Macaca fascicularis: one gene and its partner. The protein of the gene in region 1 purifies or fractionates together with the protein of each later gene. This does not show direct contact. Links are inferred from orthologs where the notes say so. Each region holds a gene or a part of one and is shown in the gene's direction. Other genes may lie near its edges. The genes, in order: BNIP1 and NBAS.

What was found.
Region 2: the proteins of BNIP1 (region 1) and NBAS purify together in Homo sapiens (co-immunoprecipitation; 3 studies listed by BioGRID and IntAct, with this or other methods). This does not show direct contact. The link is inferred for Macaca fascicularis from reciprocal best matches to the Homo sapiens genes BNIP1 and NBAS.

What each region holds. Positions count from the first base shown.
Region 1 is NC_088380.1:179,966,421-179,970,707, forward strand, and holds the start of BNIP1 (vesicle transport protein SEC20), read left to right. Parts: upstream 1-1,472; 5' UTR 1,473-1,484; coding exon 1,485-1,568; intron 1,569-3,831; coding exon 3,832-3,924; intron 3,925-4,287. UniProt on the Homo sapiens protein: As part of a SNARE complex may be involved in endoplasmic reticulum membranes fusion and be required for the maintenance of endoplasmic reticulum organization. Also plays a role in apoptosis.
Region 2 is NC_088387.1:106,648,072-106,652,357, forward strand, and holds the start of NBAS (NBAS subunit of NRZ tethering complex), read left to right. Parts: upstream 1-1,452; 5' UTR 1,453-1,474; coding exon 1,475-1,591; intron 1,592-4,074; coding exon 4,075-4,129; intron 4,130-4,286. UniProt on the Homo sapiens protein: Involved in Golgi-to-endoplasmic reticulum (ER) retrograde transport; the function is proposed to depend on its association in the NRZ complex which is believed to play a role in SNARE assembly at the ER. Required for normal embryonic development.

The sequences.
Region 1 (4,287 bases):
AAGTGCTCCCAAAATGTTGGCTAGTAGTAGAATAACAGCAGCTAACGGGCACTGAGATCTTACCATATGCCACATTAGCACACTGTGCTTGGTGCTTTTCATGTATTATCTCATTTAATTATCCAATCTGTGAAGTAGGTGCTATTGATTATCACCAGTTAGCCTCTGAGGAGACTGAAGCACAGGCATGCAGTGCTGTGGACAGGATTTGAGCCCAGGCAGATGCCAAGCCTGGGATACACTGCCTCTCTATTAGGTGCAGTGGGGTGATGAATACCTTACGAGAGGGTGTGTAGAGGCCTGTAGGAACACAGACAAGCACAGAGCCCTGCTTACAACAGGTGGGAGCCATATTGATTTTTTGGGGAAAAGATGGCTTTCAGTAGAGGCTGTGCCACTTTCAAGATAGGTAATCTTGCGACAGGGTTGATTGGTGGTTATTTTAATCTACTTTCAGCTCATCTCCTGAAGTGTGATACTAGTGTAGTGCAATTTCAAGGGTGGTTGTGAGGATTAAGAGAGATGAACATTCAGGTCCTAAGCATTTAGGTCCTCACAATCTATTCTTGCTGAAGTGACCTGAACAAAAGCAGATGGAGTGGGGTCGAGTCGGGGAAAAGCTTTCCAGGGAGAGGGAACACCACATTCTAAGGCTACACATCCAGAAAGAGCTTGAGCAATCCAGGAAGGGTGCAGGGTGGGGTGGCTGATGACCTTGAGGACCAGCTAAGAAACTTGGATTATTTACTAACAAAAATAAAAGAGCCACCATTTGTTGAGGGTTTCCTCTGACATTTCCATCAAAACTACGTAAATCCATCAAAACTACGTAAATCCATCAAAACTACCCCAGCAAGGTAGATTTAATAAATCCAGTTGTATACAAAAGGGAACCACCAGAAGCCATAGAAGGGCTGCATACAGGGAGGCGACTTGATCAATTTCGTGTTTTACAAAGATCCCTCAGATCATGTGTTGGAGTGATAGGAAGTACTCTACTGACTCTACTGAACTCCATACTTTAAAAAATACATAACATTTATCATTTTCTCTTTTACTCCACAATTTATACTCACTGTAGAAAATATTAAAAATATAAGAAAGTTTGAAGAAACAAAAAAGTGTCACTTGTACTTTCCAGAGACATCTCAATTGATACTTTTCTTCCAGTCTTTTTTTCTATGCAAAAAATATATAGTTATTAGAATGCCTGACAGAAGGAAGATGGAAAGAGACCACTGTGAAGCATTATTGATATTCCCTCTTCTCTTCCTCTCCATGGTATTAAGGCCATACCAAGAGGAGAGGCTGATTTCCCTACACGTGTCAGGGAAAGTCCCAACTCTGCGGCAGGGACCCAAGCTTGCCATTTTCGCCGGTCTCTAGGGGGCGCTGCCCCGAGACTGGGCGGGGAGGGCGAGAAGGCGGTGCGAAAACGCGTTTGAACTTGGGCCCTGCCGCCGCCCGTAACCGGCGTCCCCAACATGGCGGCTCCCCAAGATGTCCACGTCCGGATCTGTAACCAAGAGATTGTCAAATTTGACCTGGAGGTGAAGGCGCTTATTCAGGTACTGATCCCGGGACCCCTGCCAGGCTCCAGCAGCCCTAACCCAAGCTCTGCTGGTCTGTGAGCTCGGTAGTGTCACTCCCGAACTTTCCCCACTTGGTTTCCCAGGCCACCGGCTCCGCCCCATGACCGGCTACCCGCCCTGGTCCCCATTTGGTTGTATCCCCGTGACTGCTGGCCTTGATCCTTTTTCCGGGTGCCGCCGGATCGCCCATCTCCAGAGCACCCAACTGTTCTCCGCCCCTGACCCAGCTACTGCTTCGAGGCTCGGCTTTGCCACTTCCACTTGCAGTCCTGGTCGTCGCCCCGCCCCTGACCTCCTCACAACCTACCTGCCACCCTGCTTGGCCCCGCCCTCTGACGCTGCTTCCCCATTCTCTGGTAGCGCCCGGTAGGCAGCTAGCCCCGCTCCCTGCTGGCCAGCTCCCCTGGCATCCAAGGGCACCTGGCTCGGGAGGCACCAGGTGAAACGAATGTAACCTGGACCGTAGTTGTGATTTTATGCTTGAGGAAATCGAGTACGGCGCCAAGGCCTAGGTTAGAAGGCAGGCCTGGGTCAATGGCAAAACTGGGACCTGGACTGGGAAAGTCAACCTAGGAATAACACCTTAGAGTGTTACCCCGTTTGAACAGAGAGGAAATGAGGTGTTTTCGCCTTAAGCCATTTAAGGGTAGAGGTAAAATAAACGAGTTGACGTAGACAAGAATTAGGAATGTAGACACGGTTCCATGAGTTTAGCAAAAAGAAACCAAGAGTTTTAAACCTTGTTTTTTTGTTTTGTTTTGTTTTGTTTTTTGTTTTTGTTTGTTTTTGAGACGGAGTCTCGCTCTGTCGCTCAGGCTGGAGCGCAGTGGCGCGATCTACTCACTGCAAGCTCTGCCTCCCGGCTTCATGGCATTCTCCTGCCTCAGCCTCCCGAGTAGCTGGGACTACAGGGGCCCGCCACCACGCCCAGCTCATTTTTGTATTTTGTTTAGTAGAGACGGGGTTTCGCCGTGTTAGCCAGGATGGTCTTGATCTCCTGACTTCGTGATTTGCCCGCCTCGGCCTCCCAAAGTGCTGGGATTACAGGTGTGAACCACTGCGCCCGGCCTAAACCTTGGTTTTTAAAGCAAATCATTTTCAACAAAGTCACTAAACATTAGATGTAGACTCAGAGTTTGTAACGAGGGGTGGCAAAAAGTGCAGGAAAGTAGGGCTCCCCAGATAAACCAGATGCAGAATAAACCAAATTAGATGCAGAATAAACAAATATGGTGCAAAGAAGTGTGATTAAATTAATAACCAGAGAAAAAGTGAAATTTGATGCAGATATTTAAAACTTCTCGAACTTCACTTCTCTGATGTATACATTACAAAACTTCTGGGCCAGTTATAGAAAAATAAACTTAGGTTTCATACAAATGAAATCACATTTTCACATAATCTAAATTGCTTAGGCACCCTTCTGTACTCTTTCTAACATTTGGGTTCTTGTGATTGCTGATGAGAAAGATTGATTATAGCTGGATGTAGTGCACCCTTACTGTGTTCCAGCAGCTCTGCTAAGTGCTTTACATACACACATAATCTATGATGTTCTCTGAGGTAAGTAGGGTTGTGATGAGGAAACTGAGACACAGATAATTTAAATAACTTTCCAGGTAACTTTACACAGCTAATAAGTTGCCACAGCCAGGATTCGAATCCACATGGTCTGTCTCCAGAGCCTGCTCTGAAAACTGGCACCAGTAATTCTGAATGTCCAGCAACAGATTCTAAATCTGCCCTTAAACATGTTTATATAAACACTCTAACTTATCACTGACGGTTTGTAAAATCACACTGAAAAAGTTAATCTCATCATATGAGGCCAGATCTTTAAACATCCTCATCTTACAAGTTGAAAGGATCTAAGGTTCTAAAGTTATAGTATAACTTTCGCATGTCCATTCTTGTTGGGCATATAAGCTGTTTTAAGCTTTTTCATACTGGCCAGGTAATGTTTTGTTAAAATTTAGGCACTAAAAATTAGGTCAAAGCAGTTGTGTTTCTTTCTAGGCTTTTATATTAATTCAACATTAATCTAAAGAGGAATGAGAAAAATGCCAATGATAATGTTTTTGCTTGTGTTGCAGAGGTAAACAGCAAAGATCAGGATGAATTATAGTCAGTATCAGTACATTAATATTAGTTGGTCTAAACCAACTCTCTCACTGTATGGATGGTGTCATTTCATTTCATTGCCTTAAGAAAGGCCTTTCATCTGTTCAATGTCTCCTAGGATATCCGTGATTGTTCAGGACCCTTAAGTGCTCTTACTGAACTGAACACTAAAGTAAAAGAGAAATTTCAACAGTTGCGTCACAGAATACAGGTGGGTATTCTCAGAACTGAGATGCTGAGTATCTATCAATGAAGGGGGCTCAGTCCTGGGTGTATCCTCTGCTTGAGAGCCGTCTGGGTTCTTCAAACACCAGCTGATGGGAGCAGTAAACACTTAAGACAGTGAGGGTGACTCTGTACTAACCTGCTGTCCAGGTAAAAACGAGAAACTTTTGCGTGCAGAACACTGCCAGCTGTGTCAACAAGTGGATGGCAGGAACACCATTATCCTTGGAATTTTTGAAACCCTGAGGCCACTTCAAATACTTTCTCTTCTCTACCTTCTTTCTACCCTATTCATTTGTTCACTACCTCAATCCATCACACTCCTGGGTTTTTTTTTTTTTTTTTTTTT
Region 2 (4,286 bases), on another chromosome or scaffold:
GCAGAGGCTTTTAATTGCATCACGGCCTAATGCATCTTGATGGATATTATGAAATATAATTATCTCAAGGGATATTCAATATTTGTTTCTTTTGATGTAAAACAGTGTAATACTTTGTACAGTATATATTCATTAATGTTACAATAGGCTCTGCTTATAACTGTCCACAAAGAGGTATTTGTGGAATGAATGAATGAATGAACAAATGGGGTTGACCTTTTCGCTCCCTCCATGCAGGTTCTCAACCTATTATTTAAACTTTATTGCCCCTACACCCTTTCTCAACTTGGGTTCTATTCACCTGTCTTGTTGAGTACTAATTAGGAAAAGAAAAAAAAAAAAAAAAAAAAAAAAAGGCAGGCTAGTGGGAGCAGGAAAAAACAAAGAGATAAGGCAAGTAAGCATAAGCTATACATCTGCCTTTCTTCATGGTCCAAAACATATAAACAAAAGGAAGAAACAAATAAGCCATAGGTCTACTTTTCTTTATGGCCCAAGACATATGGCTCTTCTAACCAGATAACGTACTTAACTCACAAACTTCCTGCTTACCTTCAAACGCCTCTATTTATCAAACACTTCGGTTGACAAAAAAAAAAAAAAAAAAGGAAAAAAAAGCAAGTTAACTCCCTGCTAACTTGGTGTTATCAATCACTCCAAGTTCCAGTCTATAAAATTCTCAACAAGCCTTTGTTTCCTAGCAATGAGCTCCTCCTCTGCTGATTCTGCGCGCTGTTCCCTGGCAACGATCTTTCATACTTTCTTTAATCTGTCTTTTTTTATCTACTACTGTCTTGGTAAATTCTTTTACTCCCACACCCAGAAAGTCGTCGCTCACTCGCGACACGTTGAAAGAGTTCTTTCAACTCTGTACTTTTGCCTCTGTCTCTGCTCATCCCATTTCCCCCTACTTGAAATGCTTCTCCAGTGGATTAACATTCTGCCAGTTGTTAAAGACCTAGGGACAAGCTCCACGTCCTCCAGGAAATCCCTGCAGACTCTGGCCTTCGTTGCCTTTTCTGAGCGCCCGTAGCATGCTTCCTCTGTTACCTTTCATTGGCTTGATCCCCTGCATTGGATAACTTTGGTGGCTTATTTTAAAACCACTGTTTGAACTCTCTCTACGTGCTAGGCAAAGAATACACAAATGAACATTAGCATTTCAGTGGGGTACCTTTACCGTTTCTGTTTTATAGAAACTGACTTGATAAGACAGGCTCAGTGACTTGGCTGATGTCACGTAGATTAATTAACAAGGAACGCACCAGGACCGGGACACAAGTCGTTCCCAAGACAAGCAATAGTCCTTGTCCTTCCTACTCATAAAAGGGTTAACCTAGCATTTCCTTGCCGCGGTCAGGGTCAGTTCACTCCACTCCCTTCCCCGTGAATCAAAAGCGGCCGCGGCTAGGGAAGCTTGTCCTGTGAGGGATTCCGTAGAGGCGCTCCTCCACTGCTTGAGTCCCGGGCGAACATGGCGGCCTCCGAGTCAGGGCCGGCTTTGAGTCCAAGCGCTGCAGAGGGTGAGGAGGAGACGATTCTCTATGACTTGTTGGTCAACACCGAGTGGCCACCGGAGACTGAAGTACAGGTGAACCAGGCCCGTCTACAGCAGCAGCCAACTTGACGCGGGCGCTTCGTGGGCAGAGCCACGTAGCAGGAGCCACGTAGGGGAGTGAAGCCGGGTGGGCGGGGGGCCTGATGGCTTGTGTGGTCGCCCTGGCAACGGCACCTTGGGCTACCGGGGGTCTGGGGCTCCTAAGGCGGGGTGGGGTCGTGGTCCCTGAGATTCCTCCTGGGCTCAGAATTCGGTTTTTGGGGGCTGGAACTTCGTGTTCTGCGGAGCGTAGGATCCCACTCTGGTTGTTAGTTTCTCTCTGTTTTCGGAGGGGTGCAGATTGTTAGTTTCACTCTCTGTATTCGGAGGGGAAGGCACAGCGCTGGACTAAAGGGTCCTTTCTCCTACCTGGACTCTCGGTGGTCCCTTCTCGCAGTCTGGCTAGGGCTAGTACGGGCGGACGCTTAACGGTGTGAGAATTTTCCAGGACCTTACAGTCTTCAGCATCTGGCAGGCTGCTGCAGAGTGCGGAATCTGAGCCTTTACAGCTACCTGGGGCTGGATCGCGCCAGTTCTTGTGTGTAACAATAAAAGAGCATTTAATAAGGGTGTGCGTGTCCGTTCGTCCGTCTCGGTGTCCCAGATGCTGTGCTAGGTGCTGAGGATACAGAGATAAATATGCTTTCGTGGAGCTTCTCCTCTAGAGGGGAGGCAATCCTGTAAACGTTATTCATAATCTCGCGTTTTATGCGCTATAGTTAGCGATGTGAGCAAAATGCCACGGAAGTGAAGGGTAAAGAACTGCTGACTGGGATTGGGATCTCCGCTAGAGAAGGATTATAGAGGTTGATAATTTATAGACTGGATCTTGGGATTATCAGTTATTTGGTAGTGAGGGCCTCCCGGGTCTGTGGTGAAGAGTAGGAACCACGGATCCATGTTTATTTAATAGATATTTATTGAGTGCTTAACAAATGCCAGTTACTGTTTTGGACCCAGAGGAAGCAGCCAGATCGAAAAGAACCTTTATTAAAGATTATGTAGTCCAGCCCATATGAGTTATCTTACATTTTTTTATGAGTGTTTCTTTGCTGGAGAAACGACTCATTTTTCAGCCTAAAGTTTGTATTTTTTTCCCCTATAGCCTCCTTCCCACTGCAGTTTGTGCTTATTTTGAATAATGTATTTTGTAGAACGGGTAGAGATCTGCATGTTTTGCCGTTTAATTTCAAGTGCTTAATTTGTCTTAATGTGAATATTTTTTGGGTTATGCAGCTAGGAAGCTGTTGCTGCGGCAGCTGGTTAGATAAGTTTCCACTCCTTAACACTCATTGGTTAATTGCAGTAATGTTTCAGAATGCTTAGCATAAATTGATTCCAAAAAAGTAACCACAGAATTAACTTACTTTGAAACCCTTAGCACTTTGTTTTGTGTTTATGTGTTGGGGGTGGGGGAATTCTATTGATTTCTGCATTCTATCGATTTCTGCATTCTATTGATTTCAGCTGTTGAACTATAAGCTCTCGGAGGGCAGCTACATCTGATTCATCTTTATATCTCTCCCCAGGGCCAAATTGTGCCTTGCATGAATCCCACCATCAATTCTTGTTTGTTGAGTGAAATAACTTTTCTGTTTTTTAAAAAATCTGTCTACACTTACTGTGTGTCCATTGTGCTTTTCTTGACAGCACTGTAGTGCACCTTATGCAGTGCCTAGTGTCATGAACCTACCCACAGTGTGTTCAGTCTATACTTATGGAATGGAATTATTTAATATAGCAATTACATATCGCTGTATGTTTTGTTAGTAGCATTGTCTGGATGGATATACAACAGATAGTCAATGAATTTGCCTTGGAGATATGACCACTTTTCCTGTGAGCAAAACTTACAGCTTCAATAGAGTGTGCTGAATTGGCAACCAGTGTGGTCTTTGGCCTTGACTTCTCTTGTCTTTGGATTGGTATTTGATTTGGAAACAGTTTCTAGCTTCAATCTTTGTTCTTACCTGCAAGGTTAGTCCTGACATGTGCCTGTAGCTCTGCTATGCTCCCTTTACTCCTATTGTCCCCCATCCTGAGTCTACCTTTTTCTTTTTTTTTGAGACAGGGTCTCACTCTGTCACCCAGGCTGGAGTGCAGTGGCATGATCAGGGCTCACTGTAGCTTCAACCTCCCAGGTCACCTCAGCTTCCCAAGTAGCTGGGACTATAGGCACGCACCGTCTTGCCTGGCTAATTTTTGTATTTTTTGTAGAGACGAGGTTTTGCCATGTTGCTCAAGCTGGTCTGGAGTTCCTGGGCTCAAGCAGTTGGCCCACTTTGGCGTCCCAAAGTGCTGGGATTACAAGCGTGAGCCACTGCACCTGCACATTCAGTCTTTAAGTAGTTTTAAGACACTGCTTCCCTGTGCCCAAAACTCTGGATATTAGTAAATAAAAATAAGTTTACATTGTATAAGCAATACTAGTCTAATACTAGAGGATTCAAATGTAAGGGCTTTGTTTTAAATTCCAGCCTAGAGGCAACCGAAAGCATGGTGCATCCTTTATCATCACGAAAGCAATTCGAGGTAAATATAGCTTATTTCTCTACAGTAATGATATGGTTAACAGTTAAAATGTGTTCTTTAGACTTCTGGTGTGGAGACTAATAAAAGTGACGTGTTATCTGAGTTTAATTATATATATATATAGACACATGTATGTATATGTATACATTTGTATATT